Linked DNA regions of Lonchura striata. The protein of the gene in region 2 interacts with the protein of the main gene of each other region in a biochemical or structural test. Links are inferred from orthologs where the notes say so. Each region holds a gene or a part of one and is shown on either strand. Other genes may lie near its edges.

Evidence for each region.
Region 1: of the proteins of PRKCA (region 2) and HMGA1, one has a biochemical effect on the other in vitro, tested with the Homo sapiens proteins (2 studies listed by BioGRID). The link is inferred for Lonchura striata from reciprocal best matches to the Homo sapiens genes PRKCA and HMGA1.
Region 3: the proteins of PRKCA (region 2) and NHERF2 form a complex in vitro, tested with the Homo sapiens proteins (2 studies listed by BioGRID and IntAct, with this or other methods). The link is inferred for Lonchura striata from reciprocal best matches to the Homo sapiens genes PRKCA and NHERF2.
Region 4: of the proteins of PRKCA (region 2) and MGMT, one has a biochemical effect on the other in vitro, tested with the Homo sapiens proteins (2 studies listed by BioGRID). The link is inferred for Lonchura striata from reciprocal best matches to the Homo sapiens genes PRKCA and MGMT.

The regions. Positions count from the first base shown.
Region 1 is NC_134632.1:4,219,135-4,226,775, reverse strand, and holds the start of HMGA1 (high mobility group protein HMG-I/HMG-Y), read right to left. Parts: upstream 3,011-7,641; 5' UTR 2,891-3,010; intron 2,649-2,890; 5' UTR 2,522-2,648; intron 1-2,521. UniProt on the Homo sapiens protein: HMG-I/Y bind preferentially to the minor groove of A+T rich regions in double-stranded DNA. It is suggested that these proteins could function in nucleosome phasing and in the 3'-end processing of mRNA transcripts.
Region 2 is NC_134621.1:9,051,218-9,058,982, reverse strand, and holds the start of PRKCA (protein kinase C alpha type), read left to right. Parts: upstream 1-4,760; 5' UTR 4,761-4,854; coding exon 4,855-5,027; intron 5,028-7,765. UniProt on the Homo sapiens protein: Calcium-activated, phospholipid- and diacylglycerol (DAG)-dependent serine/threonine-protein kinase that is involved in positive and negative regulation of cell proliferation, apoptosis, differentiation, migration and adhesion, tumorigenesis, cardiac hypertrophy, angiogenesis, platelet function and inflammation, by directly phosphorylating targets such as RAF1, BCL2, CSPG4, TNNT2/CTNT, or activating signaling cascade involving MAPK1/3 (ERK1/2) and RAP1GAP.
Region 3 is NC_134618.1:16,766,018-16,772,908, reverse strand, and holds the start of NHERF2 (Na(+)/H(+) exchange regulatory cofactor NHE-RF2), read right to left. Parts: upstream 3,010-6,891; 5' UTR 2,970-3,009; coding exon 2,760-2,969; intron 795-2,759; exon of another isoform or gene 666-794; coding exon of another isoform or gene 651-665; intron 1-650.
Region 4 is NC_134609.1:31,246,679-31,253,712, reverse strand, and holds the start of MGMT (methylated-DNA--protein-cysteine methyltransferase), read right to left. Parts: upstream 3,003-7,034; 5' UTR 2,984-3,002; intron 1-2,983. UniProt on the Homo sapiens protein: Involved in the cellular defense against the biological effects of O6-methylguanine (O6-MeG) and O4-methylthymine (O4-MeT) in DNA. Repairs the methylated nucleobase in DNA by stoichiometrically transferring the methyl group to a cysteine residue in the enzyme.

The DNA.
Region 1 (7,641 bases), on a different chromosome or scaffold from region 2:
GAGCCTCACTGGGGAGGGTGTGGGCAGGACATGCAGCCCCGAGGAGCCACTCAGACCTCTGAGCCTTTTCAAAAAACAGGCGTCAGCTCCTGCTCCCCTCTGGAAGTGACTCATGAGTGCAGAACAACAACAACAAAAACCACCCTCAGAGTCTTTTTTTTTTTTTTTTTTTTGGGAGACAGAAACCATGCTGTAGTGTAAACACCCCGAAAATATTACTCACAGCATCCCAGAGCCCTTCAAGGAGTCTCTTAGGAAAAAAAAAAAAGAAGTATGGTTTAGATTTAGGCCAGCAAAGGGCCGGCTGCTGGTCGGGCTGGGACGGGGTTTTGTCTCTTTTTAAGTCAATCTCTGTCAGAGGCAGCACAGCCTCGAGCTGCTCCGTGCCCCCTCCTGCAGCTGGAAACAGATGGGCCCAGCATGACCCCCACCCTGCTGGGCTCTCCGCCTCTGGAGGGGCCACCAGACCCCACAGCAGCTCCAGCTGGGAATGCCAAGGGAACCCTGCACGGGTCGGGGGTGCCGCTGGGTCTGCCCGCCCTGTGCCCCCCAAAGCAGCTGCTGTGCAAAGTTGTTGGTGCTGGGGAAAGCACGTGCACCTTCCACCCACCCCCATCCCTCTGCATCCCACCCCCAATTCCTGCTCATCCCATCTCCAATTCCTGCTCATCCCATCTCCAATTCCTGCTCATCCCACCCCCCAATCCCTGCTCATCCCATCCCCAATCCCTGCTCATCCCATCTCCAATTCCTGCTCATCCCACCCCCCAATCCCTGCTCATCCCATCCCCAATTCCTACTCATCCCATCTCCAATTCCTGCTCATCCCACCCCACAATTCCTGCTCATCCCATCTCCAATTCCTGCTCATCCCATCTCCAATTCCTGCTCATCCCACCCCACAATTCCTGCTCATCCCATCTCCAATCCCTGCTCATCCCACCCCCCATCCTTCCTCATCCCACCCCCTCTCCTCCGCAGGGGCTCCAGCGCTGAGGGGGCTCGGGGGGCTCTGGCAGAGGGGGTTGGGAAGGAGGATGCTGGAAATGGGGGCTGCTCCTCTGCCATGCCAGCCCCTTCCCAGGCAGCCCCGCTCCCGAGAGCCGCCCCAGCCGCCCGCAGTGCCCCCGGCCCGCGGGGACCACGCCGGGCACATGGCGGGAGCAGCCCCGGCCCTGCTCACACGCCATCAGAGCCGAGCAGGGAGGGAGGGAGCAGCTGGGTTGCCATGGAGGAGAGGAAGCAGCTGAGGGAGAAAACCTTTCCAGGCAGGGAGGAATCAGTGGGGGACGCGGGCAGGGGCTGCCGGGCTCGCCAGGGGCGGGGGGAGCATCTCGGCACGGTTTGGAGGGGCCGCATCTGCCTCTCCATTGAGCTGGGGGAAGGAAACCTCCTCCCCTTCTCCGTCCCTGTGGATGCTCAGCCTCCGGGGCCTCCTCCTCGCTCCCTCTGCTCCGCAGCAGCCACCTCTGGGTCGCACAAGGACCAACCTGTCCCCTCGGAGCGATGCTCCCTCCTGCTCTCGGGCCTGGTCCTGCCTTCCCAGCCGCCTGCGCTGCCTTACGCTGCTCTGTGCTGATAACCCCATAAATCCCTCGCTCCTGCCACCTACTCTTTAGATTAAACAAACCGGCCCAGGAGAAGCGGGAAGACAGGCGGGGGGGGGGCTTAGATCTTAAAAAAAAAATATATATATATAAATGTATATATATATTAAAAAAAATAAATAAAAGCTCTTCACGCCCAGAAAATCCAGCCTGATGGCAGCTGGAGAAGGATCCCAGCCGCACCTCCTGGCAGAGGGATGGGGAAGGAGGAGGGGAAGGAATCGTGGAGCAGAAGTTGAAGAGCCTGTTGGGCAGGGGTGCGGGCCGGGAGGGATGTGCGGGCTCCTCCTTAGCCCCGACCCGCCGCGGGGCTGCTCTGAACCCCACCCCGGGGCTGCCATTGAGGAAAGTCCCCCCCTTCCTTCCTGGGATGCATAATAAAAGGAAGTGATAAAGGAAAGGAAGGAGGGAGGTGCAGGAGAAAGAAAAGAGGCAGGAAGGGCACCATCAGGGCTTTGTGAAGCCCCCGTCCTGGGGGTGGGGGGCGGTGTAATAAAACCCCTCGTGGAGCCGGCGCTGCAGGCGGGCTGCGGGGCACCGTGCTGGGGGGGCTCGCCTGAGCCCCCAGCCCCGCAACTTCGCCCCGACCCGCGGGTGCGCGGCCCCCACGCACCTTGCACGGTGCCTGTCCCGGGGCTGTCCCGGGGCTGTCCCGGGAACGTGCGGGGCCCCGAGCGCCGTGCGGGGCGTTTGCATCACCCGCAGCCCAATAAGTGGAGCGAAGTCGCTCGGCGGTGGGAGCGGGGACCCCCGCCCGGCCCACCCCCCCAGGTGCATCACGCTGCTATTAACAATAATTAATAGCGATAATGAAGCCCAGCTCGGGCAGGCGCACGCGGCCCGTCCCCGCATGCGGCCGGGGGAAGCGAAGCCCCGGCCCCCCGCGGCAGAAGGAAGAGGAAGGTGGCACTCACAGTCAGCTTGATCCCGGAGCCGGGCGTTCGCCGTGGGTTTCGGGGCCGGTTTTCGATGGTTTTGTTTTTTTCCCGGCGGGTCTGTGTTGCGGAGCGAAGGGACCCCCCGCCCGCGGCGACTGCGGATCTGCAAGGAGAAGAGAGAGGCTGCGGCTCAGCCCCGCATCCCCGCCAGGCCCCGCGGATTTATATAAATAATAAAGAGAGCGAGAGAAAAAAAAAAAAAAATTGCTCCAGGAGGAAGGAAGCTGGGTCAAAATCATTTGCAAGGGAACGAGGGGGGAATAAAAAAAAAAAAAAAAAAAGAGGTGGGGGGGAAAGGGGGGAGAGGGGGGGAAAAAAAAAAACGGAGCGAGCTCCTAGCCTTACTGGAGGGGATCCAGCTGCTAAAAATAGCAAAATCACACTCGAAATTAAATAAGGGCAAACAGGCGAAGGGAGCTCCCAGCGCCGGCGGAGCGGGGGAGGCGGAGCCGGGGCCGCATCACGGCGGGGGCGGCGCGGGGCGGCGCGGCCGGGAGCGATAGGACCGTTCAAAGCGCTGCGGCGGCGGCTGCGCCCCTGCCCGCCCTGCCCGCCCCGGGTCCCCCCCCGGCGGGTGGAGATCAGGCCGGGGAGGATGGAGAGGATGGAGACACCCTCATCCCCCCCTCTGCCAACGCTCCCGGCCGGGGTCGTGGCGGTGACCCCCGGCTGGGTGACCCCACTGTGGGTGACCCCCCCCCCCCCACAATCACCATCGTCACACCCGTGGCTCTCCCCTTTCCGTATTTTGGGGTTTGGTGGCCCCGCGGGGGCAATCGCCATGTGCCGGTGGCCGGAGCACGATGCTCCTTCTGTTTGCTGCCTCCCCACCAGGTCAGCTCCCCAAAAAAGCTTCTGCTCCCCGGGTCGGGGGGCTCCCTCCCCGGGGCTCCCCGGATGCTGCTGCGGTGTTCATTGAATGCGTTACCGCAGCACCACCGCCGAAAGGGGAGGCTGGTGTGGGAGCAGGTTCTGCTGGGTGCACAGTGAGGTTTGGGGGCTCCTGGGGGCCCCCGAGGCTCTCCGGGGCTTTAGGCAGGTGCTGGGCTCAGTCTGCAGGGAAGAGCTTTGTTCAGAATTCCTCTGCTCGGTTTGGAAGTGCTTTGGGTCGTTGTGGAGTCAGCTGAGATCAGCTCTCGGGTGAGGTGCCCCAAAACCCAGGTCCCCCCCTGTGTCAGGGCAGTGTTTCCAACACAAGTTGAGCATTTGGGGTCTTGTGGTGCTTTTCCTCGATGAGATACTGGGAAATCCAGAGCTCAGCATCCCGTTGTGTGAAGTTTTTGCAAACTCCTGTGCAAACAATAACAAACCTAATGGAAACTGATTTGGGTGCTTTTGACCATCTTGACTCTAAGGGCTGAACTCTGAAGTGAGGATCTGAACTTCAGACAGCTGGATTTAAGTTTCAGAAAAGTTTTTATTAAAATATTAAAAAAAAAAAAGGAGAGCCTTAAGATGATGAAATGTGAAAGTATCAACATCTGCCTGTGCAAAACTGCTCTAGCAGGGAATGTTGGTGAAGAAAAACAAATCAAACCCAGCCAGGCTTGGGGCACTTGTTTCTGCTAATTGTTATTTGGATTTTTCAAATCCCCTGCAAATTCCTCTGCCTAAAACACAATCGGAGCAGTGACCCTTTCTGACAATTAAAAAATAAAAGCCAAGATGGGGGCGAACCCTCCTGCAAGAGGGTTTCCTGTTCCCAAACAGCTGCAGGAAGAGCAGGCACCCCCTGCCTGCACCCCGTGCACCTCCTGATCCAAGCCCCCATCCCAGGGCCTTGTGTCCAGCCAGGGGTTGTTTGCAAACCCTTTTTTTTTGGGGCTAAAATTAGTGTTTCCCCACCTGCAGGCAGCCCTGCCTGGGTTTGAATATGTCAGGGTGCCTTTTACCCCAAAGCTTCTGCTCAGGCTCGTGAGCCCAATGAGGAACTTGGTTTGTGTGCTGGCAGAGGCTCGTTGTTATTAATATCCCTCCTTATTTACTGTGCAGCAGCCCGAGTTCTGCAAACCACCGGGGCTGCTCTGCTTCAATCCCTCAAAGTTTCAGCAGTTTCCCACTCTCAGAGCCCACGCTGGAGTCTCCCCACACCGACTTCACCCGTGGGGCGTCCACTTGGTCTTTAAAGAAGAAAAACAGAGCTGGAGGAATGCCCCAGAACTAGAGAGAGGTGGGGAGATGGCCTAGCAGCCAGGTACAGGCACACAGCCACGTGCAAGGAGGGCAAAACAGCGAAAGAACCGCGCTGGAGCAGAGCCCGGGGCTGCAGTCTGAGAAGAACATTTTCACTTTTGTTTCTGCACTTGGGTTCCTGATTTACGGCTCGCGGCTGAGTGGGTTTGGGAGCAGGACTGGGCAAGCTCCCCCATCCCGCCGTTGAGTTCTGCAGCCAGGGAAGAAGCTGAAAATGGCTGGAAATGGGGAAACACATCGCAGCTGAGCCCAACGCGGGGCACGGCGGGGCAGCCCGGGCCGTGCCGGGGTGGCATCGCCCGGAGCCGGTGTCCCGGAGTGCCCGAGGAGCCGGGAGCCCTCCGGGATGCCAGCAGGGATGTCCCGGTCCGGGAGCCCCCCGGGATGCCAGCAGGGATGTCCCGGAGTGCCCGAGGAGCCGGGAGCCCCCCGGGATGCCAGCAGGCATGTCCCGGTGGTCCGGGAGCTCACGGGAGCCCCCCGGGATGCCAGCAGGGATGTCCCGGAGCTCACGGGAGCCCTCCGGGATGCCAGCAGGGATGTCCCGGAGCTCACGGGAGCCCCCCGGGATGCCAGCAGGGATGTCCCGGTGGTCCCGGAGCTCACGGGAGCCCCCCGGGATGCCAGCAGGGATGTCCCGGTGGTCCGGGAGCCCCCCGGGATGCCAGCAGGGATGTCCCGGTCCGGGAGCTCCCGGGGCTGGCCGGCCATGGCGCGGGAGGACAGGGATGGGGACGTGGCCTTTGTTTCCCCTCCCGGCTTTGTTTCCCCGATGGCCCCATTGAGGAAGCCCCATGTGGCCAAAAAGCCCCGGACCCACCCCAAACCAGGCCTGTTAATTTGATTAAATGGCTCCTTCCTCCTTCTCACCCCTGGAGCAGATTAAGCTCTCACCAGGGCAGCGTTTTCCTGCAGCTCCATTCTGCGGACAAATTCCTAAATCACCTGATAATTTACAGTCTTAAAGCGCCGATTTGAGCCCGGGGTTTGCAGGACCAGCGCCGTGGGGTGCACGAGCTGCAAATGGGGGGTGCACACATGAATTATTTCGTATCTCGATTTATTTAGCCAATATTTCAGGTCCGGGAAGACAGCAGATGGTGAAACGGGTGCCCAGCGCTTGGGAAAAGCTGCACCTCTGGAAAGTGCCCTGAAAAAAAAAATCACCCCCAGCTCCTTGGGCTCCTCAGAACCTCTGATTTGGTGTCCAAAAAAGCACCCAGGGGGGATATGGGGGACCAGAGGGTGGCCCTTGAGTGGCACACATCTTATCCTGCCCTGCCCTGCGTCCTGGCACTGCCACCGAGCCCCGCAAAGCCGCGCTTGGGATTTGGGCGCCTAATTCCTGCTAATTTCCCTGGGAAAGGGGAAACCCGAGCCTCTGAGTCAGCTCAGGTTGTCGGGTGATTAGAAGGGCCACCTGGCTAATTACGAGGGTGTGTTTGTCACCTGCAGAGCCTCTGGAGCAGCCGTTAATGGGGCGTGGTGGGGACAGGACCGCGGAGCTGGGGCTTCAGGGGAGAATTTGGTGGCGGTGGGAGGAGGAGAAGGATTTGGAGGTGCTCCCCCTGCCCTGGGCTCCGGGGTGCTTGGGGCTGCAATAAGCACAGCCCCCGCAGCGGGAAATGCACATAAATAACTCCCTGTACCCTGGTGATCCCGAGGCAGCACAGGCTGATCCATGGCGGCCGCAGGGCGAGCAGGATCAGCCGGTGGGGCTGGAAAGCGGCTCAGGCTCAGCCACCCCTCACCTGCACGTCCTGACCTGTGGGGACACGTCCCTGCCCGTCACCCCTACTCGGTGCCAGCAGGGTCTGGTTTAGTGCCACTCCTGCCCCGCGGGATGGAGAGGGTGCTGCTGGTGGCATGGCGATGGGCAAGGGGTCGTTTGTGGGGTGCTCCGGCTTGGGCACTCTATGCCGGAGCATCCCATGAGTTTTGGGGAGCTGCTCGGGCCCCTGGCGGGTCCAACACCGGCTGTGCCACCTCCCGGGCCTGGGGTGGCTGCTGGCTGTGGCAGGGAGCGGGATGCTCCGGGGCTGCAGCCATGGCTGCGCGGCTGCACAATGGCCTTTTGTCTGCGGGGCTGCCCCGGGAACATCCCGCCATCCCAGTTTCCCAGTAACATGAAACCTCCTCGGGGCTGCCTGCCGGGAGCACAAAGCCTGGGGCTGCTGCGGGGGGCAGCCCTGGCCCCGCTCCCGCACATGGGCTCAGGTGGGTGCGGGGAGGCTGCGGGGTCCCGCCTGGCAGAAGGAGGTGGCAGCAAGCAGGGAAGAGGCAGGAATGGAGCCCGGTGCCGTCCCCCTGGGCAAAGATGAGGCTGAGCCACGCTGGGGGTGCTGGCAACTTCCTCAGCCCCGGTGTTCCCCACGCGGGGAATGTGCCAGGGGTGAGAAAATCCCTGCGGGCGCTGCCGGGAGCCCCTTCCCCTCTGCTGGGGCCTGGGGGTGCCGATGGTGGGGGAGGAGGGAGGGAGGGACAGGCCGGGAGGAGCCGCTGTAAATCATTAACGGAGGAGGGGAATGCGAGGGGTCATTAATCGAGGGCTCTCTGGCGGGCTCGCAGTGGGGTCTGGCCGCCTGGTATTTTTTTTTTTAATCAAGGTATTTTATTGCACATCAGATCTGACCAGGGCAGCGGAGGAGGTGGTGACTGCCGGCAGCATCCGAGGAGGGGTGGGGGGATGCACCGCGAGGCGTTTGCAGGGGGCTGGAGGACAGGGATGTTTGTCCTGCTTTTCCCAGCCTTTCCTAGCTCCTCCATGCCCTGGAATCTCGCAGTATAATAGGGAAGGACCCCCCCACTCCCTGGCCAGCTCTGAGCCCGCTGTGGCAAAGGGGACGCACCAGGGGCTCCAAAAAACCACTTTTCCCGGCCAAATTCCTTGACACTTTCCCGTT
Region 2 (7,765 bases):
GGGTAAGAACAATAAACAGGCTTTTTTGTTGTTTTTGGTTTGGGGTTTTTTTAGTTGGTTTGCTTGTTGTTGTTGTTGTTTGTTGTTTGTTTTTGTTTTTGTTTTTTTTTGTTTTGGTGAATGAATTTGTAGTAGAAAACCAGGATTGGTTAAAACATGATAAACTTAAGAATGGGAGCTTCAAAATTAAACTTGATGGGTGATTTCAGACAAAGAGAGAAACAAAGTTTATATTGTGTGGAAAAAATAAATTATGAAAACCTGACTCCTTAGTTTATAATAAGAAGTCTGTGGATTAATGCAAACTGGTAACTGATTTTGACCTAATTATGGCAAGTAAGTGGGATAATTATCCCACAACAGTTGCTGGTGGAGATGTCTCATGAGCTGGCCCTGCGGAAATTCCTTTGGAAGATGAGATTGGGTGAAGCAAATAATTTGTAGGCAGCAGTGTTGCAATCATGCTTCCTAAAAGGACTTGGAAAATGGACACTTGTCCCCCTGACTCTCTAGAGAGGGAAGCAGTTGTGATTTGCTTTGAAATGTGAGGAGGAATTGGCTTGTGAACTTCCTTATAGGCCTCCAGCAGGAAGTGATTCCTGTTGGCTGAGTATTTCTCAGAAGCAGGAAATAATAAAACAGTCACAGTTGCCAAAGCAGTTGATGGAGGTGTTCTCCTTGGCTCCCTTTGAATGGCTCTGAGGCAGAACAGAGCCTGATACATATTTCCTTTTCTACTGCTTTTTGATTAAAAAGTGATGCAGACGGTGGATTTCTGTTCCAGCAGATGAGTAAAAGATGAGACGTTTCAGCAGAAACCTTTTTCAAAATGAACCCAGATGCACTTACAGACCTAGGGTGATATTGATGGAAATATATAAAGAACTTCAGAAGTTATGCTTGTTACAGCAATAATCAAATGTTTTAGAGGAAAAAAAAGACAACATGTAAATCATCCAATGGGAACTTCTATCAGTGACAGTCTCTAGGATATTATCCAAATAGCCATACAGGAGAAGACCACATAAATGACACTTTGGAGTCTGGAATTCTAAAGCTGCTGGCCAGGAGGTTGGAAAAGCTGGTGCTCTGATTTAATGGCCATGTATATGCCTGAACACAAACAGTGAAAATGCTGACTCCTTGTCCAGATGGCCTGAACCAGAAGCAAATTGCAAACACTCCCCTGGGCAGAAGAGCAAGCCATGAGCTGCTGGGGGAATGTGCTCACTCAGGAAGAGGTGGCAGACGTCTTTCCTCCAGTTATTTACAAAGGAGGGATGAGTTCCTGTATCACCAACAGAACCTGAGTCCAGAGTAGGAAAAATGAGTGTCTAGGCAATTAAAAACCTCCCAGCAAGAGGAGCTGGTGTCACAACAGCACCATCCCAAAGGTGTCTGGGAGTGGAACACACCATGCCCTATAGCATCACTGTAAGAGCAGCCTGGCCATGGTGACAAAGCCTGATATTGGAGGTAAATATAATAAAAGCACTGTGTAAGTGCTGTGTATCCAAACTGCAGCAGCAAAAGAAGTTGTGTGTTAAATACAGCAGGGCAAGGATGTGTTCTAAGGGTTCACCTGGTTGTCTGAGCACACATAATGGGGATTTTTTTTGCCCAGTGTGACTAGTCACGATGTACAAATAATTGCTAGGTTCGAGATGAAATAGATGCTTTACAGAGAGAGACAGGAAAGCAATCCTACTGTGATCCTGTAGTGCTGTGACTGGTTCCATTTGGCTCTTCCCTGGGGCCTGACACGAGCCTGGCACATTCACCGTTGTTTCAGTGAATGAACCTGGTCCAGAGTCATTGGCAGGAAAGAAACTGGAATCCAAAATGATTCAGCAGGTCTGTGAGATTTTAAGGAACAACAAAATACGCAGGTTGCCCCAAACCCGATATAATCCAAGTTATGTCTCTCTCAGATTCTCCAGTTTTGGTGTCTGCATCTGTGATACAGCACAAAAGGAATGGAAATAAACACGTTTCATATTTCTTGATAGAATCCTAACAAGAGTACAAAATGTTTCTTGTGCTCCTCATGCTTTGGCATAAATTGATTAAGGCAAGAAAATCTATTCCCTCTGAAGAGGAAGAAGAGATTTGAAACATGTGCAGAATAGGTGGAGACCAAATTAAAAATCTTTATATTTCATTGGATTTCAGATCAAATTTGGAAGTAGTTGCTCACAAAATAAAATCCATGAAGCAAGGGCATATGGCAACAGTTTCTAGGGCATCTGGTGTGATTCTCTAAGTTTAGAGAAAAGCAGGGCCATCCCTATCATTGGTTATTTGGTGAAATGCCATGGACATTCCAGTTCTCCCAGGTTGCACTCAGAAACTGAGGCTTTTAAATTAAGATAGTATGTGGCAAGTTATTTCTGTTCTGTGCTGAGTGTCCATGTGCACTTTTCCCATCAGCAAATACGACTTAATTTGAGTTAATTAGCTGGCTTTCATTCTTGTGAAATAAAATGTCTTGCACATGCTTACACAGATAGACGAGTGTGTAGATATACTGGGGTAGGACTTTTAATGTGCATTTATTTTCCATATGTGTAAATTTGTAACCACGGAAATAACATTTATTAAAAACAATATGATTAATACTTGGTTTCTTTACTTTATGTATATATTGTGATTTTATATTAGCATAGTCATGATTTTTCTGAGTGTATTAATATGAGAGGGTGCCATGGCAGATGTTCCTGTGTCCAAGGAGTTGGGAATACTTTGCGTGTAATGTGAGTAAATGAACAAGTCTATTACTTCATGGAACACTTGATGACATAAAACCAAGGTAAAAGTCTGTTGTGTATGTGCTGAACGTCCTAATGAGAGAAAGAGACTTGGAGAATGTTTCCTACACTTTTTGTTGAGGATTTTGAAGTGAGAAACGCTGCGGGATGTTTACACTGGTACCCAAAGATCCCCGGCGCAGCGGCAGGACGTCCTGTGGCGCTGTGTGTGAGGTGCGCGGCGGTTCAGCGCTCGCATGGCTGGGGCTGCGTTTGAGAGCGGCAGGAAGGGGAGAGGTGTGCGGGGGAGAGCTGCGCTGTTTGTTGTGGTGCAGGAATAACGATGCTGGGGTGGGTGCAGGCAGCCGCGGCTCCCCGTGCTTTGTGACACGGCTGTGCCTGCGGCAGCTCTGCCGCTCCGGGCGGAGGCAGGCAGCGGGGAAAGAGGGATGGAGGTCACGGTCCTGCGGGGAGGGGACCTGTGGGTTTCCACGGCTGGCAGCGGGCAAACTGCGTGTGTGTGACCTGCGTGGGGCTGTGCGAGGGGCAGAGAGCGGACTGCTGTGTCTGTGTGGGCGTGAGGGGAGCCTCTGGGTGTGAGAGAAAGTGAGAGGGGACCTTGTCTGTGTGCGGGGGATCTGTCTGTGCGTGACCCGGGAATCTCTGTGAGTGAGGGTGTGAGGGAGAGAGACAAAGTGAGAGGGGAGATTCTGTGTGCGTGTTTTGAGGGAACCTGGGAGCGTGCGCGTGTGAGCGAGGGGAGCGTCGGTGTGTGCCTGTGTGTGAGGGAAGCCTGTGCAGGTGAACGTGAGAGAGAGACAAGAACCGGTGTGTGCCTGAGTGGAACCGGCGCGTTTGGGGGGAGCCGGTGTGTGTGAGAGCCGGTGTGTGTGAGAGCCCCGGTGTGTGTGTAAGAGAGAGAGAGATCCCGGTGTGTGAGAGCACCTGGTGTGTGTGTGAGAGCACCTGGTGTGAATGTTTGTGAGAGAGATCCCGGTGTGTGAGAGCACCTGGTGTGTGTGTGAGAGAGAGATCCCGGTGTGTGAGAGCACCTGGTGTGTGTGTGAGAGAGAGATCCCGGTGTGTGAGAGCACCTGGTGTGTGTGTGAGAGAGAGATCCCGGTGTGTGAGAGCACCTGGTGTGTGTGTGAGAGAGAGATCCCGGTGTGTGAGAGCACCTGGTGTGTGTGTGTGAGAGAGATCCCGGTGTGTGAGAGCACCTGGTGTGTGTGTGAGAGAGAGATCCCGGTGTGTGAGAGCACCTGGTGTGTGTGTGAGAGAGAGATCCCGGTGTGTGAGAGCACCTGGTGTGTGTGTGAGAGAGAGATCCCGGTGTGTGTGAGAGCACCTGGTGTGTGTGTGTGAGAGAGAGAGATCCCGGTGTGTGAGAGCACCTGGTGTGTGTGAGAGAGATCCCGGTGTGTGAGAGAGCACCTGGTGTGTGTGTGAGAGATCCATCCCGGTGTGTGAGAGCACCTGGTGTGTGTGTGTGAGAGAGATCCCGGTGTGTGAGAGCACCTGGTGTGTGTGTGTGTGTGTGTGAGGGATCCCGGTGTGTGAGAGAGAGATCCCGGTGTGTGTGTGAGAGAGCCCGGTGTGTGAGAGCACCTGGTGTGTGTGTGTGTGTGTGTGTGTGAGGGATCCCGGTGTGTGAGAGGGATCCCGGTGTGTGAGAGCACCTGGTGTGTGTGTGAGAGAGAGATCCCGGTGTGTGTGAGAGAGATCCCGGTGTGTGAGAGCACCTGGTGTGTGTGTGAGAGAGAGATCCCGGTGTGTGAGAGCACCTGGTGTGTGTGTGTGAAAGAGAGAGAGCCCGGGGCGCTGCGGGAGCTGACGAGGCCCGGCAGGTGCGGCCGCCCCCCCGCTCTCCCCGGCGCTCCCCGGCGGGGGCGGCCCCGCGCCCGCCCCGCCCCGGCCGGGGGCTCGCTCGCTCAGCCGCGGGCGGAGCAGCCGGCGAGAGGGCTCGGGATCCTCCTCCGCTCCGACGTCAGGCTGGGAGCGGGAGGCAGCGCCCAGCGCCGCCGCTGCCAGAGGCTCGGCGGCCGCCGGACGGGGCGGACGTCGGGGCGGCGACTCCCGGAGCGGCGGGGGGTGGGGAGGAGGCGCTATGGCCGACGTGTTCCCGGGCTCCGAGCCCGGCGCCGACCCGGAGGCGGCGCGGCGCTTCGCTCGCAAGGGCGCCCTGAGGCAGAAGAACGTGCACGAGGTGAAGGAGCACAAATTCATCGCGCGCTTCTTCAAGCAGCCCACCTTCTGCAGCCACTGCACCGACTTCATCTGGTGAGAGCCCGGAGCGCGCGTCCCCCCGCGCCCGCCGCCGCCCGGGCCCGCTCCGCCGCGGGGGATTCCCCGCCCCGGGCAGCCCCGGCTCCGGGGCGCCGCCGTCCCTGCCCTGCCTCCCGTCCCCGGGCAGCCGGGTCGCGGTGCGGCCGCTCTCGCCGGGGCCGGGCAGGTGACCCCGCCGGGGGTGACCCCCGGTGTCACCGCGCTGCCCCGGCGCTGTCGCATCCTCCTCCCGGCGGGTTGCCGCGGCTCGGGGGGCCCGGGGCTGGGCGCACCCCGCTTGAAGGGGCTGCGGGGGGGTCGCAGAGACCAGCAGGGTCTGGAGCCCCGCGCTGGGACCAGCGCTTCGCACTTGGTCCAGAGCTGTGTTTCCCACCCCTTGTCCCCGGGTTCTGCTGGGTGGGGGGCTCGGCCGGGCACGGCCGCGCTGGGACGGAGCGTGCCCGTGTCAGACCGCGGCGTTGCCGAGTGGCAAAACTCGGCTCCCCCAGCCCTAAGTCCTGGTCAGTGCCTGCCCTGCTCCCTCCTGCTGCCGAGGCCGGGCAGGCACGGTGACACCGCTGCTCCGGTCCACGCCGAGGAAAGGGAGGGGTGGTTGTTGTGAGGGAAGAGAGGCAGGAAAACTCCCTACCAACACGCTCATTACTGAGGTGGTAGGGAAGAATACACCCACGGGTTGGTGCCGTGCCGGGCAGGGCGGCAGCTCCGCGCAGGCCGGAGCGAGGAGCGGCGGCCCGGGCTGGCAGAGCCGGGAGAGCCGCGGGGGTCCCGGACCTGCGGGGACCGTGCAGCACAAACAGCTCAGGATTCCCCTCCTTCCCCTCGCTCCAGTCCTGCTCCGCTACTCAAGTTTGCGCTGCGGCTCTGGGTGCCGAAAGCGAGAGCTGTGATTTATTTTGGCCAAAGTTGTGAAAAGGTCTGCACGCAGCTGGCTCTGTGTCCGTGGCACGCTTCTTGCTCTTTTTATGTGTGTTTATGTGTCTGGACAGGGACCTTTTACTTCCTCTGCTTGCATGCTGAAGCAAAGACTGTGCTTGTGCCAGAAATGATTGAAATATATTTGCAGAGTTAAGGAAGGAAAGCTGACATGGTAGACTGCACAAGAAACAAGTCAAATTTCTGAGTTTATCTTTCTTTTAAATTTTTCTGGGGGGAAAAAAAGTGAAGTTGGGTATGGTAAAAGTGAGAGACCTTCAGAAACTGCTTCAAAGTTAATCTAAACCAGAATGAGTTGGGAAGTGTGAAAAACCGCGGCAGGGTTATTGCGAGCGGTTTTGTGCACACCAGCAGCACAATTATAAAACAAAGCCGAGCTCTGTCACGAATGACAGGATGGATTTGGAATTGAAAGGGTATCCTGTGGCTGACAGGTGGCAAGAGCGACTATGCTCCTGTCTTGTCGTGCTTGCTGAGCCTGGGGAAGCTCTTCACATTCCTTAGAAGAGCATCTGACACCTCGAAAACTTGTTTGTTTTCTGGTTTGGAGATGGGCTGCTCTCAAACAACCATCGCGCACCATTGAGTGTTTCCAAAATGACTTGTGTCAATTAACAACGTTGGAAGGTATAAAGAACAGTAAACACAACCTTTCAATGAAATACACAGATTCTTTCCCTTAGATTACATTTCATCACGTAATATGGATCACAATAGTTTAGTCTTTCCTCTTCAACAACTTTCGCCTCTCGGCTTTGGTTCTGGAATGTTGATATTTTTTAAAAGACTTTTTACTTAAAAATTACATTGTAACTGCTCGGAGAGTGCGGCTCTGCAGGGATTCAGTTCAGACACTGAGCCCCAGCCGTGCTTCTGGAGTACATAAAACAGGAATATTTGCAAATAGGTCTATTTCAAAGCTTTAAAAATTATCTCAGGTCTGTTTCATGTTCTTAGTCCCACTACCAGCTTTCCTATGATTGTATTTCCATGCTTCTAGCTTTTGAACTTTGTGAAGATGAGTGGTAAAAGCATCAGAGTGACAATATAGGCACATGTACTGCCAAGTAAAGAAATAATTCGATTTTTCTCCTGATTTCCCTAGTTCACGTTTGCTTATAATAACAAGAAGTAGCAACTTGTGCAGCAAAATGTAGAGAAATGCTCTGTGTCATTTCAGCTTCCTCCTGAAGGAACAGTGCACTGAAGGTCTTGTCTCTGCCATAAATAAATAAATAAAAAGTGGAGAAATTGTTGATACATTTTTTAAGAAATCATTTCCATAAAGTTGATAATTAAGCCACGTGTTGTTAATTGCACGCAGCTTCTCCAGCTCATGGCTTTTGTCTATTTGAGTGTGAGCAGCTCCAGCTCTTCAGATGAAAAACAGGCTGCAAAGAAAAAGGCAGAGAAATGTTTATAGGCAGGATACTCAAAACAGTTATTTTTGTGGGAAGAGAATGTTAGATGCTTAAAGATAAACAAATAAATCCACAGCAGTGGAGTTTGCCAGAGGTACAAAATGTGTTGGAACTCTGGATACCACTGTCATTGTGTTCACTGCAGAAGTGTTACACACACATTTGTATTTCATTATGGAAATGAAGCAAGGAAGCTGGAGAATAATCAGTATGAAAATCAGGGGCCTGGCTTCTTATTTGTGTTGAAACAAGCAAAACTTTTCACCTGTTTGCTTTCCATCCAGCAAATGGCTGGACTTCAGCTGAGCCTCACAACAGCAGCTTGTAATCCCAAAACCTGGATGAAACCCCAAGTCTGGTTTGTTTTACGTGCCTTTG
Region 3 (6,891 bases), on a different chromosome or scaffold from region 2:
TGCAAACAAAATAATAAAAAAAAAAAAAACCAGCCTGCGAGAAATGTCCAGGCTGCAGCCAGGGCTGAGCTAAGCCATCCACTGCAGCGATCCCGGGAGCCCACCCCCGAGCAGCCTGGAGGGGCTGATCCATCAGGCCCAGAAAATCCATCTGCTCCCGCTCAGATCCCTTCACATCTGCTGGCACCAGCAGTGCCCGGGCAGGGGCACTTCTCCCCGAGGGGACCTGGCAGCAGCAGCAGTCAAAGCTCGGCAGCAAAGATGCGGACGGGGAAGGTGCTGGCCCTGCAGTGCCATCCCCCAGAGCCCACAATTCGGGTGCTGCAGGCAGCACAGGGGATCACAGGGGTCCCACAGACCGCAGAGATGCTCAGAGGGTCCACAGAAGGGTCCAAAGCTGGCGTGGAGCAGTGCTGGGCTCACCCCACGGCCGAGCCCCCCAACAGCCACAGCGAGAGCAGCGATGGAGCAAAGGTACAAGTGCCAGGGGTGGAGAGTGGCACAGAGCAGCCCCTTGCCCCCTCCCCACGAGCAGGATGAGCAGAAGGGGCTGTGAGGAGCCCCCCAAGGCAGCAGGTCTCCCTGGGGACAGAGCAGAGAGGTGGGGGGCAAAGCAGCAGCTCCCGGCGAGCTCCTGCCCAGCACCGTACCCGCTTCCGAGCCATGCTCCCAGCCTGGAGTCCCGCAGGCTTCTGGAGACAATGCAGCCCGTCCTGCTCATCTGGGACCTCCTCAGCACCCGACCCAGCCCCAGGATTTCCGCAGCCCCACCCGAGCAGACTTTACCCCTGGTGACGGCAGCGCCAGCCCGGCAGCGCCAGCCCCGGGCCCTTCCACCCTCGCCAAACGGCAGCGCCCAGGAAGGACTCACGGTGCCAGCAGCAGCTCCCGCAGAGGTGCCCGTGCCCTGCTCCATCCTGCCAGGCTCCCCGGGCACCTTTCTGTGCTCAGGAGCTGCGGCTCTGCCCGGCTCCGAGGAACCCAGGACGCAACTCTGAGACAGAGCACGCTCTGCCTTCGCTCCTTGGGCAAGGCCAGGAAAAAAAACCAAGAGAACAAAGACAAAAATGCTGCCAGCTTCGGCTGGAAACACAGTTACACCCAAAGAGCAAGGCCTTGTGTGCTGCGGGCTCCCCAGGGCACATGGAGAAGTGTTACTTGTTCAAGGTTGGGCAAGGAGCAGCACGAGGAAGGACCAAGGTGAGGTGGCTGCTCAGAGCCACCGTGTGACCCACCAGGGCATCGCCCTCGCCACGGCCCATCAGTGCTGGCGAGGTTTTGGGGGAAGAAGAGGTTCTTGTGGTATTGAGGCAGGAAAAAGGGTGATCCCAGCGCTTGCACTCTCGCTCTCAGATGCCACGGCAGCCAGAGCGGGCACCGGGCGAGTTCCTGGACACCCTGGATGGGGACACCTCGTTCCAATCACTGCTCTGCAGCAGCCAGCGAGTGCCAGCGCTCCATCCTGCCGCCAGCAGCAAAAACACAAACGAAAAAACAAAAAGGAAGAAATGGAAATTTCCCCCTCCCATTTCACTTGACCTACTGGGAAGCCCCAGCACGTTTCAAAGGCACAGCTGGCTCCGCTATCGCCCGTCCCCAGCAGCCCAGCGCCAGCAGGGAGCTCTGGTGGCTTCCAAGGCACCACAGGAACCCAGCCCTCCTTCCTGGCCAGCCACATCAAAGATGGGGATCCTCCTTCAAGGGGTTTGAAATCCCACTCAGGACAAACATCAACTTTCACACGGCTGGCTCGGAGCGTCAAAACAAGCTCAACTCGCCACCAAACCCCACCAGGCTCATCCAGAGGAGTCCACCAGGCTTTGTTGGAGCCACCTGGAAGGCTGTTTCACCTCCAGCACGGCAACATGCACACCTGGAGTGAGGTCTGGGAACACACGGCCCCCCAAAACTCTGTGGGGTCACGGCACATCCCAGCTCTGCCCCCATGCAGCGCTGGCAGCGGGGCTGAGCAGATGTTTTAAGTTACTAAAACACCAAATCCTGCAGAGCTCCACAAACCACGAGGCAAATTGTGCCCCTGCCAGGCTCCGAGTGTCCAGCAGGACTGGAGCAGCTCGAACCTCGCTGCTTGCTGTTTTGTTTTTTCCGCATTTTTTGGGTTTTTTAGACTAAACTGTCTGACAAATCCAAGTTTCAGTTTTACAAGGAGAAAATGCCACAGCCCGAAACAGCTTTTGTTGGAGAGCAGAGAAACGGCAGCCTTGGACCTGCCCAAGCGTGGTCAGGGAGAGCCACGGCTCCCCTCCGAGCCCTATCGCTCCCCGGCCAGCCCAACTGCCGAACATCTGCACGGCTTTATCTGCAGATTTTCAGGCATCTTCCCACACTCGGGGCTGCACAGGCAGGCGCAGCTCGCCCGAAGCAGCCAAGAAAACCCACGGCAGAGCCGGAAATAAAGCCCGGGTCTCCCCATTCCTTTCCACCACAGATTGCATAACGCGGCAGAGCCCTGCCCAGCCCCGCACACCTTCGCCTTCCCCACCTTGACACGACTGCAGCGTCCTGCGCCCGCAGCCCGACCCCGCACGGAGCTGCGGATCCCGGGCCACGCAAAGCCCGGCCCCGGCATTTCGGGGGAGCATCCACCGCACCGCTGCGGCCAGCCCAGCGCTGCCCGGCCGGGGATGCTCCGGCGGGGATATTTTGGGTGAAACCCCCGCTCTGCCCGCCGCAGGGAGGCTGCAGCGGGCACGGCCCCGCTCGGCCCCGGTGCCCGTGTGCCCCGCTCCATCCCGCACCTGGTGATGCGTCTCCTGCTCCACGTTGAGCCCGTTCACCTCCACGACGCGGTCCCCGGCGCGCAGCCCCGCCGCCTCGGCGGGCGAGCCGGGCTCCACTTTGCGGATGAACTGGCCGCTCTTGCCCTTCTCGCCGTGCAGGTGGAAGCCGTAGCCGCTCTCCCCTTTCAGCATTCGGCACAGCCGCGGCTTCAGCTGGTCCTTGGCCATGGCCGGCGGCGGAGCGGCGGCGGCGGCGGAGCGGGGCGGGCGCGGGGCCGCTTTTATGGGCGGCCCGGGGCGGGCGCCGAGGGGCGGGTCGGGACCGGGGCCGGGGCCGGGGCCGGGGCCGGGGCCGGGGACGGGGACGGGGCCGGGGCCGGGGCTGCGGGCGGCGGTGGGAGCGGGGCAGCAGCGGGGCGAGGGGCCGGGGCCGGGGCGATGCGCAGCTCGGCCATGCTGCGGCTGCCCCGCGGCACCGGGAGCGCGGCGGGCGGGGACGGCGGCGGGACGGGAGGGGACGGGGCGGAGCCGCAGCGAGGGACGGGGCGGCACCGGCACCGGCACCGGCACCGGCACCGGCATCGGCACCGGCACCGGCATCGGCACCGGCATCGGGACCGGCACCGGAATCGGCACCGGCACCGGCATCGGCACCGCCACCGGCATCGGGACCGGCACCGGCATCGGCACCGGCACCGGCATCGGGACCGGCACCGGCATCGGCACCGGCACCGGCACCGGCACCGGCATCGGCACCGGCATCGGCACCGGGACCAGCATCGGTGTCGGGATCGGGACCGGGACAGGCATCGGCACCGGCGCCGCACTGGGTCCGGCATTGGCACCGGCATCGGCACTGGCACCGGGACCGGCTCCAGCACCAGCATCGGCGCCGGGATCGCGACCGGGACCGGCATCGGCTTCGGCACCGGGACCGGGACTGGCATCGTCACCGGCATCGGCACAGGGACCGGCATCGGGACCAGGACCGGCACCGATGCCGCACCGGGACCGGGCTCGGCACCGGCACCGGCACCGGCATCGGCGCCGCACCGGGACCGGCACCGGCATCGGCACCAGCGGCTGGTGGAGCCCCGGGGCCAGAAGCCCCGAGCAGCACGATCCGACGGCTCCCTGTGGCACGGGTGCCAGGGAAGCCGTGGCTGCTCCTGCATCCCCGAAGTGTCCCCAGGCTGGCCGCGGCTCGGAGCAGCCTGGGATGGTGGAAGGTGTCCCTGCCCATGGCAGGGGTGGCACTGGGTGGATGGCACTGGAGCTTTAAGTCCCTTAAGGCCCTTCCCAACCTAAACCGTTCCAAATTCGATGACTCCTGGTGGGGAAAGGCTCCGGCTCCATCTGGGCTGAGCTTGGAGAGGCCACCCAGGTTTCACCTGGGCTGAGTTTGTTTAATGGAACACAGAGATCCCCGTCTTCACCTTTTTGCATTCCTCACCTTCATTTCCTTGAAATCTTTTACAAGAGGACGTGACCCAGAGCAGCTGTCACAGTGCTGGCCCCGAGTGTCACATTCCTGTGACACAGGTTCTCAGGCCTTCTTCTGCAGCTTCTCCTTCCTCATCTGCTTTCCTCCCAGATTTTACAGGGCTGAAGCAAACACAGCAGCCAGCTGGAGGCTGGAAAGAAAAGGCTCCAGAAATTAATCTTGATTTATTTTAATGCGTAGTTTGCTTTAAAAACCCTACTTCCACTGCAGTTATACATAAATTCACCCTTAAAAACCCCGGGACCACAAACATGCTTGGAGACTGCATCCTGAGAAATCACAGCATTATTTATCTCTGCCAGTCCTTCCCACCTCGTTCCCTGCAGGCACTGTGGCTCTGGGAGCTGCAGGGCAGGGGCTACCGGGGGCACCGGTGCTGTCCCCTGGGCTGTCTGTCACCGTGGGGTGGGCACGGGCTCAGGCCCTGCCTCCAGACACGTGTGGCAGCCAGGAGGGTGTGATGGCCCACCAGGAGGATGTTTTAGTTCCCCCAGGAGGATGTGATGTCCCCCATGAGGATCTGATGTCCCATCAGGAGGATCTGATGTCCCCCATGAGGACCTGATGTCCCAAAGATGACCTGATGTCCCCCATGAGGATCTGATGTCCCACCATGAGGATCTGATGTCCCCCAGGAGGAAGTTTTAGTCCCCCATGAAGATCTGATGTCCCCCAGGAGGATCTGAGGTCCCACCAGGAGGATCTGATGTCCCCCAGGAGGATGTTTTAGTCCCCCATGAAGATCTGAGGTCCCACCAGGAGGATGTTTTAGTTCCCCAGTGATGGTTCTTTGGCCCCTGCACTGCCTGTGTCACCCCAGCAGCGCCGACCTCAGCACGAAGTCCTGGGTGACCCAGAGGAAGCAGAGAAACTGAGGCAGGTTTATTTGCTGTACAGCACAGCTGCTCCCCAGAGCCTCTTTGTGGAGTCCTGAAGCTTTTTGTCGGGCTGGAGGAGTGCGAAGAATTGATTTTTCCACTCGCTGGCTAAACCAAAATATGGGAGGGAAAGGGGGAGGAGAAGGAATTGTTTCAAGTTTATTTGAACCAAAAAGTTTTTCTTTGCATTTGGCGCAATAAAAACACAGTGGGAGAAAATCTTTCAGGTGGTCAGAGTAAATATTTGAACCCTTTTGAATATCTTTTTGAAAGCATTGGGAGCATGAAATTTTTTTTTAAAAGATAATAAAACAGAGAGAAAATATTTCAGAAAGGGGGGAAACAGTTGTTTACGTTTTTTTTTAAGCACAAGCATTTTCTCAAGTGTGCCCTGGGCATTCTTTCCCCAAAAAACCCCATTTATTTATTGTGGAGGATGTAGGGGACGCTCTAGTCAGCTGTAGCTCTGACTCAGCACTGGATCTTTGCCTGAGCACCTTGTGATCCTAAAATAAAACATTTATTTTGTGATCGCTGTACTTCAGGAGCTGTGGCTGTGCCTCTGGCACCAGCTCTGGGCTGTCCTGGGATCATCCCAGCGTGCATCCCTGGGCACCAACATGGATCACAGGGAAATCCTGCATTTCTTCCCTGCAGCTGGTGGAGAAGGAGCTGGAAGGAACATTAAAATACATCGTGCAAAGGTAGATCCTCCCGAGGTACAAAATCCCTTTGGTTCTCCCCATCCTGCCTTTTCCCATCCTCCCAGGTCTCACTGAGAACAGGAGAGAGGTTCCTGCGCCTGGAATGGCAGAGCCGTGGGTAAACCCTGCAGATCCTGCTCAGGCAGAAGTTTTCCATGTAAATTTTGGGTGTTTTGACTCAGGCACATCTCTCAGTCCACACTGGGCCTGCCTGGAGGCAGAGGCAGTGCAGGGACCTGTGAGCTCCGTGCCTTGGAAGGGTTTGGAGCTTTTTTTGGTCGACATCTGCTTCCAGTTCTGGGCAGTGACAGAGAATCCCACCTGTGTCCTCCTCCCTTTGCCTCGGGCCTGATGCTGTTGCAACATAATCCAAAATGCAGGTGCTGGGAGGACTTTCCCAGCTGCAGAAATCAGAGTCGGCCTCCAGGCTCCTTGGCAGCTGCCAGTGGGGATTTTGGGGAGCCCACAAAGTCCATCTTCCTGCAGAAACTGGGAAATCCTCAGCTGAGCCCCCAAGCCTGCGCAGTCAGCTTTGCTCCTGAGGCAGTGGGAGGGTGAGGAGCCCTCTGAGGAGGAGGATGGTCGATGATGATGGAGTCACTGGGCTGTGCCAGAGCTTCCAGAGGGATGGGAAGTTTTCCACGTGCCTTTGGGTTCCTCACAGCTGAGGTGCCAGGAGCCCTGTGTGTCCCTCGTGCCTCCACGAGTGGCTCTGGGCAGCTCTGGTGGCTTTTCCATGTCCCACTCAGCCCATCCCTGTCCCGGCATGTCGCTTGAGCTCATCCTGCTTGGGGCTGGGAGCTGCTCCCAGCTCTCCTGGCTCCTTCCCAGCTGTGGGAGCTGCTCTTCCTCCCGCTCAGCCTCCTCCTCCTCCTCAGTGCTGGTGTTTATCCACAGCCAGCTTTCCTCCCCGCAGTTTGGGCAGCCCAGCACCTTCTGCTGGCTGTGCAGGGAGCTGTGGCCGAGCCAGGGCTGCTCCCGGTGCTGGGGATCCCTGCTGGGAGAGCCCCTGGCACCGCAGCGACCGGCTCTAACTGGGAATAAATGAAGTCCTGGGATTTCCC
Region 4 (7,034 bases), on a different chromosome or scaffold from region 2:
GTCAGAAATACTAAATTCAACAGGAGTTTTTCCTTCCATTAGGAGGATTTTACCCATTATACCTTCAGATAAATCAGCACAATTACCAACCAGTACCATTCCCAGCTATCAGCAGAGGGAGGGGATTCAGGCCTGGAATTCTGCTGTAAGGACAGTGAGCTTTTCACTTTTTAATTACAGCATTAATGAAGTTAAAGCTCCCAAACCTATTCCGAACACATTCTGGAACCTGTCGCTACCAAAAAGATTCCAAACCCAAAATTAAAACTTCATCCTCCATTTTCCCATCAGTTACATTCTCCTCACCAGTCCAGATATCTTATGAACACTGGGTAAACGAGAGAATTGCACAATCCGTCAATAAAATAAACGTATTTTCGACTCCTGTCCAGATGACTCAAGTTGTCAGTAAAAACTGCCACCAGCGCTGCGCTTGCAGAAAAATGTCCATAAATGCATTATTGCGACTGGCAGATCGATGTCCATAATAAAAACAAATAGAGTTAACAAGTGCTGGCTCCTCCGAGTTATGCCACGGCTGGGATGTGTATCCAGCTTCCCTGACAACTTCTGGGAACGGGCAGTGCCAGCTCCACAAGCTGGAGCATCGAGATGCAGGAAATCCCTGCAGTGACAGAGGGAATATGAATGCCTGCAGGATGGATTTAGAAGCTCCGTGCATTCAGAATTTGAGGTGGGAATGGAATTCCTGCCCAGAAGGATGAACCCCTGATCCATCATCATACTGGGCAGGAATTCCTGGCTGGGAGGGTGGGCAGCCCTGGCACAGGGTGCCCAGAGCAGCTGTGGCTGTCCCTGGATCCCTGGCAGTGCCCAAAGCCAGGCTGGACACTGGGGCTGGAGCAGCTGGGACAGTGGGAGGGGAAAAGGGTGGGATTTAAGGCAGCCCAAACCATTCTTTGATATTACTCTGTGAACTATGACATAATAACTCACCAGCAGAAAGGCTTTTTCTTTCAGAAATCAAGTGCAATTTAGGTCAGCTGTATCCCAGGAAGAATAGCTGACTAGTCTGGATGCTGCTGTTTAATTTTGACACCCCAACACACCTGGATCTCCAATTTGTTCCCATGAAGCTCTTCCAGCACCAACACCTGAACAACCACTCTGCAACCCCGCAGGTGAGGATGCCACCAGAGGAGGAGGACAAGGAAATTACACACTGCCAGTCCAGCCAGCACCCTGAGGGTTAATTCACAAGCATCAGCTGTTCTCAGTCCTCCAAAACCGTTATTGTATAGGAAAAAAACCCCGAAAACACTACAAAACCAGCAAAGGACTTCTGGCATTACTGCTCCTTCAAGGTATTTCCCCTGTCACCAGTTTAACCAGAACTGCTCAGGTGCAACCTTTCCAGCTCAGGCACACTTCCCATAACAAACATCCTGCTTTTCCTGCACAAGTCCTTAACTCAGCCATTCGGGGCAACCCCAGGAATCCTCCCAAAGGGCAGCAGCTTCTCCTCCAGGCCCTGATCCCCTCAGTGATGCCATGAACTGATCCTCTGCATAGGTGAAGCATTAAACTGTGGTGACAAGTTAATTACAGAATTATCAAGAGGTAAAGCAGCCACGGTAACACAAGTTGCTCTCTAACTACAACGGTTTCCTATAGAGCTTCTGTTCTCTTGCTGAAATAATTGGTGTAATGAACCTTTCATGGGCCAGAATGCAGACAGGAATTGCTAAAGCCGCCTCGCAAGCTCACACAGCCACATCTTTTTCCTGCTGAAACCTGAAGATTTTGGTAGAACTGTCCACATTCAGAACATTTCTGTTAGAAAACAAAGCAAACAAAACTTTTACTAGGAAAAGATTATGTCACAGACTGACACATTCACAAGAAAATGATGGTTTTAGACATTTCCTACATTGAAAGGGTGGATTTTGCCCCAGAGAAAGTAAGTCCACATCCCCAACTTTAGTCCCCAGTGCATCAGGGAGACAGGCAGTGCTTGGAGGCCAAAACCTTCATCAGGTTTACAAGGGAACTCTGTCATTCCAACAAACCCCTCCAAATGATGAGCCTTGTGCAGGGTTGGCACAAGCCTGGGCACAAAAGGTGGCTGAGAAATTACTGTCACAGCACCCATGTAATGCCCCAGTATTGAAAACTGAGACTTTTCAAACTGGAACATTGCAGAGACTGCACCTCACCATTCAATAAGAGCTCCACTCCACAAAAATAAGATACACATCACCACGAATATGGTTTATTTGGGAGGGGCACATAAATTAAACAGCTTTTTACATTTACCATGCTTTAAAATCTGCATGCAATTACATTATTGTAGTTACTTTAAAACATCTCAAGAGCTTGGCTTTTATATAAGTGCTGAAAGGATATTTTTAGATTAATTTGTTCTGCATTAGGGTTAGGCTGGGAGGGACCACAGGAGCCCACGTGGTGCCATCCCCGAGCACATGGCACAGCACGGCGCTAAGATCCTTCTGGAATATTCCCGGCGAGGAAAACTCTAAAACCACCCTGGGCAGGCTGCTGGGCGATGGTTTAGGTGCAGTTTACCCGCTCGGAGCACATCCAGCAGCACTGCCGCCTGCCCACCGCATCCACGGCCGCGCCCGGGGCACAGAATGCGCCCGGGATGCTCCAGGGACGGAACCAGCCCTTCGCAGAACATTTTGGAGATTCACCAAAACCCGCTGTCAGCCCATCCTGCTGCCATCCATCCTCCCTTCCCCAGCACGGAGGAAAACCAGCACGTTTTCGGAGGCCGGGTTCCCCTGCAGCCCCGGCGGGTTTGCGCTGCCCCGGCTAGAACATCATCCCCCGCTCCCCAGGCCGGGCTGCCCAGCCTCCCGGCCTCTCCCAGGCTGTCCCTGAGCTCCCAGGCTGTCCCTGAGCTCCCCGGCTGTCCCTGAGCTCCCCGGCTGTCCCTGAGCTCCCCGGCTGTCCCAGTCTCTCCCAGTCGGTCCCTGTGTGTGCCCCGCGCTCTCCGCACCTGCCCCGGCCCGGCCGCTCCGCACAGGCCGCGCTGCCGGGGCGGGGCCGCGGCCGCCGGAAGGCGCAGCCGGGCGGGGGAAGGGAAGAGGCAGAGCCGGGGACTGCCGGGGGCTCCGGGGGGCTCCGGGAGAGCCCGGGCCCTGCTCCGGGAGAACCTGGGCTGTGCTCCGGGGGGATCCATGAGAACCTGGGCTCTGCTCCGGGGGGATCCGGGAGAACCTGGGCTGTGCTCTGGGTGGATCCAGGAGAACCTGGGCTGTGCTCCGGGGGGATCCATGAGAACCTGGGCTGTGCTCCGGGGGGATCCGGGAGAGCCCGGGCTCTGCTCCGGGAGAACCTTGTCTGTGCTCCGGGGGGATCCATGAGAACCTGGGCTGTGCTCCGGGGGGATCCATGAGAACCTGGGCTGTGCTCCAGGGGGATCCATGAGAACCTGGGCTCTGCTCCGGGGGGATCCGGGAGAACCTGGGCTCTGCTCCGGGGGGATCCATGAGAACCTGGGCTGTGCTCCGGGGGGATCCATGAGAACCTGGGCTGTGCTCTGGGGGGATCCGGGAGAGCCCGGGCCCTGCTCCGGGGGGATCCGGGAGAACCTGGGCTCTGCTCCGGGGGGATCCATGAGAACCTGGGCTCTGCTCCGGGGGGATCCATGAGAACCTGGGCTGTGCTCCGGGGGGATCCGGGAGAACCTGGGCTCTGCTCCGGGGGGATCCATGAGGACCCGGGCTGTGCTCCGGGGGGATCCATGAGGACCTGGGCTGTGCTCCGGGGGGATCCAGGAGAACCTGGGCTGTGCTCCGGAGGGATCCAGGAGAACCCGGGCTCTGCTCCGGGGGATCCAGGAGAACCTGGGCTCTGCTCTGGGTGGATCCATGAGAACCTGGGCCCTGCTCTGGGTGGATCCAGGAGAACCCGGGCTCTGCTCCGGGGGATCCAGGAGAACCTGGGCTCTGCTCTGGGTGGATCCATGAGAACCTGGGCCCTGCTCTGGGTGGATCCATGAGAACCTGGGCCCTGCTCTGGGTGGATCCATGAGAACCTGGGCTCTGCTCTGGGGGGATCCGGGAGAACCTGGGCTCTGCTCCGGGGGGATCCATGAGGACCTGGGCTCTGCTCCGGGGGGATCCAGGAGAACCTGGGCTCTGCTCCATGCCGGTGCGGCCTGGCTGGGGCTGCAGGCCAGGCCGGGCTGCACGTGTGAGGAAAACACGGAATTGTTTAAAAATCCAGCCCAAACCCAGAATTGTGTAAAAATCCATCCCAAAACCAGCGATGTGTGCGCTGACACAGCCAGGGGTGTTTGTCTGGGGAGGAGCAGCTCCAGGGAGAGCTCCGAGCCCCCTTGCAGTGCTTAGCTCCACCAGAGCTGGACTTGGGATAAGGGATGGAGGCACAGGATACAGGGAATGGCTTTAAACTGGAACTGGGATTTAGATGGGAAATTGGGGAAGAAATTGTTCCCTGGGAGGGTGTAAGGCCCTGGCACAGCTGGGGCTGCCCCTGGATCCCTGGCAGTGCCCAAGGCCAGGCTGGACACTGGGGCTGGAGCAGCTGGGACAGTGGGAGGGGTCCCTGCCATGGCAGGGGTGGTACTGGATGAGTTTTAAGGTCCCTTCCCACCCAAACCAGGCTGGAATTTGGGATTTGCAAAGTTATGAGTTAAAGGTGGGGGCAGAGAATTAGTAGCTAATGTAGAAGGAGAAGCATTTGGTAAATAGGGTTCCTAAAAGGAGACATGGAGGAGATAAAAAGGAGTAAAGTGCCTGAGAAAAGTGAACTTGCATTTTTTTTCCTTCATTTGAGGAAATAAAACTCAACAGGATTTGAAATGCCAGCAGAGTTTGCAGCAAGCAACCACTGGTTTTCAAGCTGGAGAATCTTTCAGAGTCTCAATCTGAATTACATCAGCAAAAATTTTATGAGTTTCTCAATTTTGAGTTTATATGATTCAGAAACTGTCCCAAAATGAAGGAATCCACTTGGGAAGGATCAGAACAATATTTAAAAAGTCATTGCAGAATTCAGGAAATCCTTTTTTTTCATAGGGAAAATTTGTAAATAAATACAGATCTGACAGCATTGAGGTAGTGTCTGTGTGTTAAATCAATTTCTAGAAGAAGTAGAAAATAAATGTAAAATATGGTCCAAAGTGCAGAAGGTTCCCCAATACATTTGAAAATAGTTACACTGGAGCAACTGTTGAGAAAATGAAGTTTTTCCCTAGTTCTAATGAAGCTTGGATTTATACTCAGTTAAAAGGTGCTGCCACTGCATGTCCATACAAAGGCAGTGGCTTATGGGAGGTTGATCCTTCTTTAAATAAAAAATATCAAGCTCTGTACTGGATGGGATACCTTAGAAATAGTTATTCTGAACTGGCTGGAATATTCTCTCTATCCTGATATCCTTGTCAGAAAAGTAGCCAGTTCCTGAAACTTTATTGTATGGAAGCCTCCCCAAAATACATATTAATATTCTCTGCCTCCTCTCCCAAGGTGATCTCCTTATTGCCTGGAGCATGAAAATTGATTATCTTTAATATGATTTTAGTTTGCATTATAACAGGCTTCAATAGGGAATGTAAAATATCCAGATTTCCTTAAATCCTACCATCTTGGGCTTTGGTGGTGGATCCACAAGTTAGGTGTTTGCACTATAAAGGAAAGTTTCTCTGTGCTGTTTCAAACTTTGCTGCACTGGAACTTGATGAAGTGTCACGTATTCCTGTTTATAAATGAGGTGAAAAAGGTGCTTCTGACCAGTGTTCACTCTGCCCTCAGAATTATGAAAATTTTATTCAAATCTCTGACCCTTCTGCTGCCCAAATTTGGATCTTTGTCGCTTCAAGTACCATTTCAAGCACTTGGATTTCAGTCCTTTAGCAATGAGGGACTGTCCCTTGTTAGATGTGTCTTTTCCTGCCTAGAAGAATTCCAGCATTCAGCGATGACACATCCAGTCTAGTTCACTAATACTGAAGCTTGTGAGTGAATTTTCATAACCCTAATCCAGTAAGAAGGTCCAAAATTTCTAAAACTTTTTCAAGTCATGTCCAATATCTTTGTTTTTCATTCCAGGCATTTTCTCTCAGTCTTCATTTTACTTAAGCCTGCTGCTTATAAGGCATTGCATTTGCTTTCAGTTCTTTACTTTATTTGTTATTAATTGCCATTTAATGTGGCATTTTCAGGGACAGGATGATATTTCCCCAGGACTGGAACATCTGTCTTCCAGCACCAGCACGTGAATTTGCTTACAAGTAAACCAAGGCTTGAACCAACACATGAACTTTTCAATCAAAGATTTTGATGGGGTGGGATGGAAAAACTGAAAAGGAAGGGTTTTATTAAATGCCTTGAGATGTCAATTCACAACTATTTGAGCCTGAATTAAATTCCTTGTTGAGGACTAACCTCTGGAAGCGTCTCCTTTCTGCAACATCTGCTGTGGAGGAGAGGCTTGGGCACTGGAGCTGGAAGGACCCTCTCGCCAGGCAGAGAGACAAACAGATGGAGCCTGGGGAGGATGCAGGATTGCAAATCACTCTGATTTGGACCTCACTTGTAGATCCTTAATTTCCCCCCTGAGAAAATTGTCAGATTGGAGCAGAGGCATAAAATATTTCTGCCTTTGTGTGTATGTGCCTTACTGAGTCAGAGGCTGGCCTGGAGCACTTCCTCTGCTCCTCCGGCCTCTCTTCAGCTGCAGAGAGCCCCAGCAATGTCACCTGGTGTGAGTTCACTTCAACCAGTAAATAAGGCTTGCCTTGCACTCTTAGAATCACCAGGAAAAACTGAAAAAAAAGAGAGCAGGCTGAACGAAACCAGAAACTGTGGTTGCCTTTGCCAAGACGCTTGTGTTTTCTCAACAGCAGGGATGTGTCTTGCAAATTTAAATCTGGAAATGTTCCTGTCCATGCAGAGCTGGGCACATTATGTGCTTTAATTGGCCCTGAAGGAGAGTGTGTGTGTGTGTGAAAACACTCCCAGTCCGGTTTCTTAACAGGATTTGAATAATAGAAGTAATCTCTGACACGAAACTTTTGTTTG